Ovis aries: one gene and its partner. The protein of the gene in region 2 purifies or fractionates together with the protein of the main gene of each other region. This does not show direct contact. Links are inferred from orthologs where the notes say so. Each region holds a gene or a part of one and is shown on either strand. Other genes may lie near its edges.

Evidence for each region.
Region 1: the proteins of DMWD (region 2) and USP46 purify together in Homo sapiens (affinity purification with mass spectrometry; 5 studies listed by BioGRID and IntAct, counting the BioPlex papers as one, with this or other methods). This does not show direct contact. The link is inferred for Ovis aries from reciprocal best matches to the Homo sapiens genes DMWD and USP46.

The regions. Positions count from the first base shown.
Region 1 is NC_056059.1:69,023,725-69,027,532, forward strand, and holds part of USP46 (ubiquitin carboxyl-terminal hydrolase 46), read right to left. Parts: intron 3,072-3,808; coding exon 2,991-3,071; intron 586-2,990; coding exon 372-585; intron 1-371. UniProt on the Homo sapiens protein: Deubiquitinating enzyme that plays a role in behavior, possibly by regulating GABA action. May act by mediating the deubiquitination of GAD1/GAD67.
Region 2 is NC_056067.1:53,112,997-53,117,334, reverse strand, and holds the start of DMWD (dystrophia myotonica WD repeat-containing protein), read left to right. Parts: upstream 1-1,287; 5' UTR 1,288-1,369; coding exon 1,370-1,810; intron 1,811-3,062; coding exon 3,063-3,245; intron 3,246-4,338. UniProt on the Homo sapiens protein: Regulator of the deubiquitinating USP12/DMWD/WDR48 complex. Functions as a cofactor that promotes USP12 enzymatic activity.

The DNA of each region.
Region 1 (3,808 bases), on a different chromosome or scaffold from region 2:
CCGAATGTGGAGCAAATAAAAAGATCATTCCATTTTGGAAGGATTAATTACTTTTTTTTTTTTGGCCATGTGGCATGTGGGATCTTAATTCCCTGACCAGAGATGGAACCCACAGCCCCTGCACTGCAACTGTGGAGTCTTAACCACTGAACCACTAGGGAAGTTCCAATCAGAATTTTTAAGTATATTTTTTGAATCCAATTTTTACTGGGTGGAAAAGAAGAAATATCTTGTATTTAAAACCTGAGTAGTTGGCCATACTATTTTCCCATTTAAAAAAAAAAGAGGGGGGGGATTCATTTTGAGGTTACACAGACCTGTTGATTCTCCTTATCTCAGATCTGAAACACATTCGTCTCCATGTTACTCACCATTTTCTTTTCTCAGCCTCGAAATGAACTTCTTTGGTGGGATCACGCCGACCTTCTTCTTCTGCGTGGCGATGCTGTGGAAAAGGTCTGCCAGGCATGTCAACAAGTTCTCTTTCTTCTTTTGCTGGGCCTTGTACGCCAGCACATTCTCCCGGAACGGCCGGCAGAAGTACAGGGCTTGGAGAACGGAGTTACAGTAGCATGTGTTTCCGAACTGCCAAAGGACAAGAGGGCCGATTTAAATCAGGGTTCTCTGCAGCAGCGAGGAGAGGGAGGGGCCGCCCTGGTGTGAACTGGCCCAGATCCCCTGTGTCACGGGCTGCATGCCGTGGTAGACCAGCAAGCCAGGCCGAACACCAGTGACTAGCTGATCGCCAGGGAAATGAATCCTAGTATACACAAGCTGGAGAGCTCGCTAGGCTATAAAAGTCTCTATAAAATGATAAGGGACACTCGGCCCTGGTTTTTAAAAATCTAATGAGACTTTCTGGTGCTCAAAAGAGAGGGTGAAGAAAAAAAAAAATCAACATGATATGGAGACATAGAAAAGCAGCTGGCGACACAAAAGACGTCACACTGCAACACATCAAAACTCGTATGACAGGGACAATAAAAACCTCAATCAGAAAGAAATCCAGCTACTAGGAACCGCTTGCTCAGCTGAAACAGCCTTAACTGAGTGGGGACTTGTTTTAAGTTTCTCTCTTTCAAGGGTTTGGCACTCCTGCCACAGGCTTCAGACTAATCGCCTCACTTTCTCCAAAGCAATCTCGTTTCTGCCAAAGTAGCCACTGTCTCAATACAATAGCACATAGGTCCTGGTCTCCTGCCACCGTAACAGGACCCACAGAGTGACACGCTGCACTTCTCAAAAGCCACGGTTATGATTTAACGAGGCAAAAAGTCATCATCTCACTGGTTTTCAACTGACTGGATAACCAGTTCTATGGGAGAACACATAGCGGAGACGTTCATTTTAGAGTTGCTCATATGTGCTAAAATAAAGAGGGAAACCATCTAGGACAATTAGAAGATTAATAGCAGATTAGAAAATGCTGTGTAAGATTGAAATGGAACATGAACACCTTCTCAAGCCTGGTAGCTGGCTTGTGTGTCATCTGCCCAAGAGTGAGGCAGATGCACGGCCATCCTTAACGGGACATTTCTTCGTATGCTGATAGAACACTTCCTATTTTTATACATTTTAATCTACTTTGACACAATTACGTGATGAGACAAACCCCTTTTTAAAGAGAAGCTGTAACTTTCATGAACTACCATTCAAAGTGAACATGTACAAAACTATTATTAGGTTTAGATCTCACAATGCTTCCACAGGCTAGGAGATGGCTTTAGTTCTTTATTCCTCCATAGTCTGCATCCATCTTTTCCCTGGCCAAGGCAGAACTCCCTCAACTTAAATAACTATCCTCATAGAGCTTAAGCAAGAGGCCTTTGCCCAATGCCTAAAACGCTGCATTAAAATTCTAAGTCAGTATTCCATCAACACAGTGCCCTATATGCCAGTACTTTAGCCTCCTCCTCCCATTCTTTTCCTTACTCAGTACCTCACCTTTAGCCAGACACCCTTTAGTAACACTTGGCTCCTGGGAAAGAAAAGGAACTAACATTTACCGAGCGTCACTGTGCCTCAGCCTCATGTCAGGACCTTCAGTAGGAGCTCTCACGGATCCTTCACTATAAGCCAAAGTGTAGAAACCGCTGTGACCCATTTCACAGAAGGGGAAATGGAAGCTCAGAGAGGGCAAGTGACTTGCCCAAGATCACACAGCTAGGGAGCAGCACAGGCAGACTCTGGATTAGGTCTGTACTACTTCAGAGACAATGTCCACTCCATTAGTCCACAGCGGCATTCACTCAGAACACTCAGTAGAGACTATGACCTATGACACCTGAGTTCTGGCAGACCATGCTCAGAGCAGTTGTTCTAGAAAACCTGGTGCTAGTGAGGTAGCAGCTGATGTTATTTACATCCTCCACCCCAGAGAGAAAGGATCAGCTGGAGAAGAAAGCTCATGAGGGTGGTGGGTAATATTGCCTTACTACCCAGCTATCATGAACTTATCCAGGACACAGTGCCGAACAAGTCTGGCTATATACAAGGGGACCGTTGCTGAGCACAAGTGAAATGAGGCCAAGGGATTTAGAGATAAACTGGCCCCAGTCTCCCCCCACTTCCAACCCATGCTTCAGATACCAAATTATGCCACGAAGCAACCACTGGTGATGAGCTCTGGTTGAGCTGATGTATACAATCTGACGAGCACATTCAGATGGTAAAGGGAGGACACACAAAAGCAGATTTTGCTACAAAGGCCAATAATATTGCTCTGAAAGTTAGTGTGCAAAGGAAATCCTTTAAAGCACAGGGGGGAAAATGAGAATCTGACCTAATAATGCACTAATTAAACCTCCTCTTCTGGGGCAACTCATACTTCCAAAAATTGGACTAAATATCCCCTACTCTAGTATTTGCCACCTATGGTAACCAAGGAGTATGACCAATTATTTAAAACTTGGTAATGATGAAAATGGCAGTGACATTGCTTCAAGAATGCTAAAACACCTGATTAAGACAGTACATTTCAAAATACTTACATTGACCAATCCGAAGTAGTGTTCATTGATTGGAAACTGCTCTGGACCAATGTCTTTTTCCAGAGCAGAGGCATTGGTGCCCTGAAAGAGAAAAACAGCAAAAGTTCTGTTGCGTGTAAAACAGACAAGAAAGCAAAAGGATACTTGAGAGAGCCCGCTATTGAGACCAACATTTCCCCTAGTGGCTACAGAGTCTGGAGATGATCATGCTGAAAACAGGTGTCGGAAGTAAACCGTAGATGAGGTAATGAGGTCAGCCTATTCCTGTCCTCACCCAACTTCATCGTCCCTCAAATCTGTTCTACCCAGCTTCAATGACCTTCCATTAGGAAAGCAGGTTTAGGACAGGTAATGAGCAAACTGCCACTCAGAACTTCCAAATAAAATGTTCTAAGCTCAGATACCTGGAGTATATTTTATGCTACTCAGTGGTGTATAGAATCATACCACCAATTTCAAAGTCATGGTGTTTTTCTGATAAAGATTTATCTACTGTGCACCCACCACATGCCAGGCACTGTTCTAGGCTCTGACAACAGAACAGTGGACAAAGGCAGTCTGAAAGAAAAAGCAAGTATACTGGACAGTACATCAGAATGTCGTAAGTGCAGTGGAGAAAAAAAAAAGCTAGAAATGAGGGTAGGGACTCCAGGGAGTAGGGGGAGGAGGGAAGGCATGGAGTGAGGAGGTGTGAAGGGTAGATTGTTGCAGCTTTAAATAGGGTGGGTCAGGGAAGGCCTTATTGAGAAAGCAAAATGTCCAAGGAAACATTATAAATAATAGAGACACAGATTTAAAACATTTAAAACCTAACTGTT
Region 2 (4,338 bases):
TTGAACAGCGGTGGGCCGGCCCTGATCGTATTTGTGCTTTAGAAAGACCTCTCTAGATCCCAAGTGTAATGTAGATAGAAGGGTGAGACATGGGTCTGGGAGAGCAGAGACAAGGCTGATACAGGGAGAGTCCAAGCAGGAGAGGAGTTTCAACGGAGGCTGCAAAGAGGAATGGAGTGGAATAGAGGAATTCAGGTGACAGAATGCAAAAGACTTGGGGATTGTAATCAGGGAGTGAAGAGGAATGGCAGAAATCTAGGGAAACACCAAAATCTGCAGCCTGGTGACTGGAAGGAATGGCAGTGCTGCCCCTAAAATGACTCAGGAGAGGAGTGGGATTTGAAGTGAAATTGTCAGTTTCATTTAAGATCTGTGATGGGAGCAGGAAGGGAGGGACACTGACTGTTAGGGAGCTGTTGGGATCAGGAAGAGATTTTGGATTACCAGTGGATTATTGGGACACCGAGGGTATTGCAGGGATCAATCAAATTTTGGTGGGTGTTGGAGAAGTGAGTGAGGTTGTGGAAATATATAGGAGTTTGGTGGAAAATGTGGAGCTGTTCAGTTCAATCACTCAGTCGTGTCTCACTTTTTGCAACCCCATGGACTGCAGCACGCCAGGCCTCCCTGTCCATCACCAACTCCCGGAGCTTACTCAAACTCATGTCCGTTGAGTTGGTGATGCCATCCAACCATCTCATCCTCTGTCGTCCTCTTCTCCTCCTACTTTCAGTCTTTCCCAGCATCAGGGTCTTTTTGCTGTTAGTATTAATCAGTATTGGGTCAGATGAAGTCGCTGGAGTTTTATGGAGACGTTGGAGATCAATGAAATTTGCAGGATCATCAAGGGTGGAGAGGAAGGGTTGGAGATGCTGTGGCCAGTCGGGGACTTTAGATGTAAGTGGAAAACACTGGAGGGTGTATGTTGGGAGTCTTCAGGAGACATTAGGGTCACCTGAAGTCATTTCTGTGACGTCATGGGAAGGACAAGTTGTGGGCGAGGCCTTCTCTTGCGGGTACTCCCGTTGCTAGGCAAACGGTTCCCAGGGTGCCGTTGCTAGGGACTATGGCTCTTTTATGGACACGCCTCTTTCCCTGAGGGCCCCGCCCCCACAGCCAACCACTAGATGGTCGCAGGCACTAAGGCCGCGCCCACCTTGTAGCCCCGCCTTCAGACCCAGAACCGTTACCGGAGCGACGGCTGGAGGTCGTCCCGCCTCCCTACCCTGTTGCCAATCGAAAAGGCGTTGCCCGGGCGACGACCCCACCTCTTCCGGTGCGGACCCCGGCTTCCGGCAGGGGGCCCGGCGGCGGGCGGCGGTCCGGCAGCAGCGGGGTCCGGGGCTGGGGTTGGGGGGGGGCGCCCAAGATGGCGGCGGGCGGCGCGGAGGGCGGCTCTGGCCCCGGCGCCGCCATGGGGGATTGTGCGGAAATCAAGTCGCAGTTCCGCACCCGCGAGGGCTTCTACAAGCTGCTCCCCGGCGACGGCGCCGCCCGCAGATCGGGTCCGGCTTCCGCCCAGACCCCGGCGCCGCCCCAGCCGCCGCAGCCTCAGCCCGGCCCTGCCTCTGCCTCGGGCCCCGGCGCCGCGGGCCCCGCTCCGTCCCCTCCGCCTGCAGGCCCCGGGCCCGGGCCCGCGCTGCCTGCTGTGCGCCTAAGCCTCGTGCGTCTCGGGGAGCCCGACGGCGCCGGGGCCGGGGAGCCGCCCGCCACGCCCGCGGGGCTGGGCGCCGGGGGAGACCGCGTCTGCTTCAACTTGGGCCGCGAGCTCTATTTCTACCCGGGCTGCTGTCGCCGTGGGAGCCAACGGGTGAGCGGCCTGCACCTTGGGGCCCTGGGTGCAGGCTGAGAGGATGGGGACCCCTGAGGTGATTCACAAGTGACAGGAGGGTACCTGAATGACAGAGGGCCCGGAGACAAGCATCCTGGATGTGATGCAAGTCCTAGGGGGAAAGGGTTCTTGGAGGTGATGCAGGGTTCTAAAAGGTGAGTGGAGGCCCCCTGAGTGCTGACCATCCTGGAGGTGGTGGGAGGCCTTGAGATCACGTGAGATCCCCAGGTTATGCTTGGGGCTTCTGGGATAGTGACTGTTGTGGAGGTGATGGAGAATTCGAGATGGTTGTGGGGTCCTCCAGGGTTCTGGCTGGCAGGCATTTTGCAGGTGTTAGGAATTGGAGGCTCATAAGTGATACCCAGGGATATTGCATTCTGGGGTTGTCCGGGGGACTTAGGGAGCCCAGAGATAAGGAGGATTCTAGAAGTGACTGGGGCTTAGAGGTAATAGGGATCATGAAGGTGAATGGGACTCTAGAGAAAATTGGGGTTCTGGAGATTAATGACAGTGCTGGAGGAAATGAGAATCTTGGAGCTGATGGGAAATATGGAGGTGATATCCTCAGGTATGACAGGTGTCTCTAAAGTGATGTCGGTCCTAGAGGACGTGAGACCCTTGGAGTAAATGGTGGCCTCCGGAAGTGTTGGGGATCCTGAGAGCTCAGAGGTGATGAAGGCACCTAAAATTTGGGGGGACTGTGAGATTTAATGGGTTCCTGAACTGTGTGATGAGAATTCTGAGATTTAGGAACTCCAGAGTGAAGAGACTCTTGGAACATTGGGCTTTAGCATTCTGGGGATTGGGTGATCCTGAGTTTTGGTGGTTTTGGAATGTTGTGGTGCTAAGACCTAGGGGTGTTGCTGAAATTATGGAGGAGGACAAGAAAGGTATAAAAGCTCAGGAACTGCAGGGACCCTGCACTGAAACTGTAGGCAAGAGTCCCTGAAGTTGGGTGGGGAGGGGCGTCCAGCCTGGGGAAGGAGGCACTTAGTGGCCTCATGTGGTGGCAGCAGGGGAGCCTTCCTGCCTGGCGCTCTCTTCTGTTTGTGTTTTGGGTCGTCCTTCCTGTCTGTGGTTTCCCCTTCCCTCCTCATTTACCCATCCACCTACCCACTTCCCTCAGGGCTTTAGCCCTGCTTCCTCTTAGTGGTTTTTCCCCCAACCTCAACACCCTCTTCCTTCCTGTCAGTGGTAGAAGCCATTAACTCGTTTTCTCCCACCACTCAAGTCCATTGACCTCAACAAGCCAATTGACAAGCGGATCTATAAGGGCACTCAGCCCACCTGCCATGACTTCAACCAGTTCACTGCTGCCACGGAGACCATCTCCCTGCTGGTGGGCTTTTCAGCTGGCCAAGTCCAGTACCTGGATCTCATCAAGAAGGACACCAGCAAACTATTCAATGAGGAGGTGATTATGGGGCCCCATGGCTCACAACTCCTTCCCGCCCCACCCGCCCGCAGGCTGTTTGTGTGAGACTACAGCTGCCTGTTGAGCAGTGTCGGCCTGAGTGGGGGCAGGGTGAGGCAGAGATGGGGGAGGACTGACAGATACGTTGGGGGGGCGGACAGCAGTTACTCTGATGACAGCCAGCGATGACAGGTGCACCTCTGGTGCCCAGGCCCTGTGCGGTGTTAGCTCTATGCTGGACACATTACTCCTGGCATTTTCATCAACCAATAGGTTAGGATTGTGAGACCCATTCTGCAAATTAGAAAACTGAGGCTGGTCACTGGTTGGGATTTGTTTGAAGCCAGAGCCCTTGCTCTTCAAATTCTGGACTACATCATCTACTCACTGTGTGGCTTTGGGAAGGTGCCTGTTCCTGAGCCTCAGTTTTCCTCCACTGCAAAGTGGGATTCCTGTCCCTACCTCACAGGACTGTTGTAAAATCACATGTGGAGATTGCTCAGTCCTGGCGTAAGGGGAAATGTCAGCGGAGGAGTTTATCTGTGTCCAGAACTACTCTTGTCCTCTCTTTCTCCTGTGTTCAGAGAGGGTGTCCCAAATGTACAGAAAGCATGAATGGCAGAGGAAAGTGAGTTGAACGGGGAATGGATTAAAAATGGACTAGTTTATCCATTCACAAAATATTAACTGAGCATTCTCGTTCATTGCCAGACTTTGCTCTAAGCACTGGGAGTATTATATCTCAGTGAACAAAACAGAGGGCCCTCTGTTTGTGGAGCTTTCATCTCGCTGGCAGAGACAGTTATCAACTACCTAAGTATGCCGTGTGTCAGCAAGTTGTGGATGAAAATCCAGCAGGGGAGGCGAATGGGGAGTGCTTGGTGAGGTTAGGAAAGGTCTCGCTGGAAGGTGACAGGGAAATAAAGGGCCTGAAGGAGGCAGGAGAAGTTACTGGGGAGAAGGACGTTCTGCATAGAGGGAACAGCTAGCACAGATGCCCAAAGCAGGAGAGCAGAAAGGCTGGGTGACCAGAGCAGTGTTGAGGGGGAGGGTAATAGAGGAGTTCTCAGAAACAACTCGGAAGGGAGAGGAG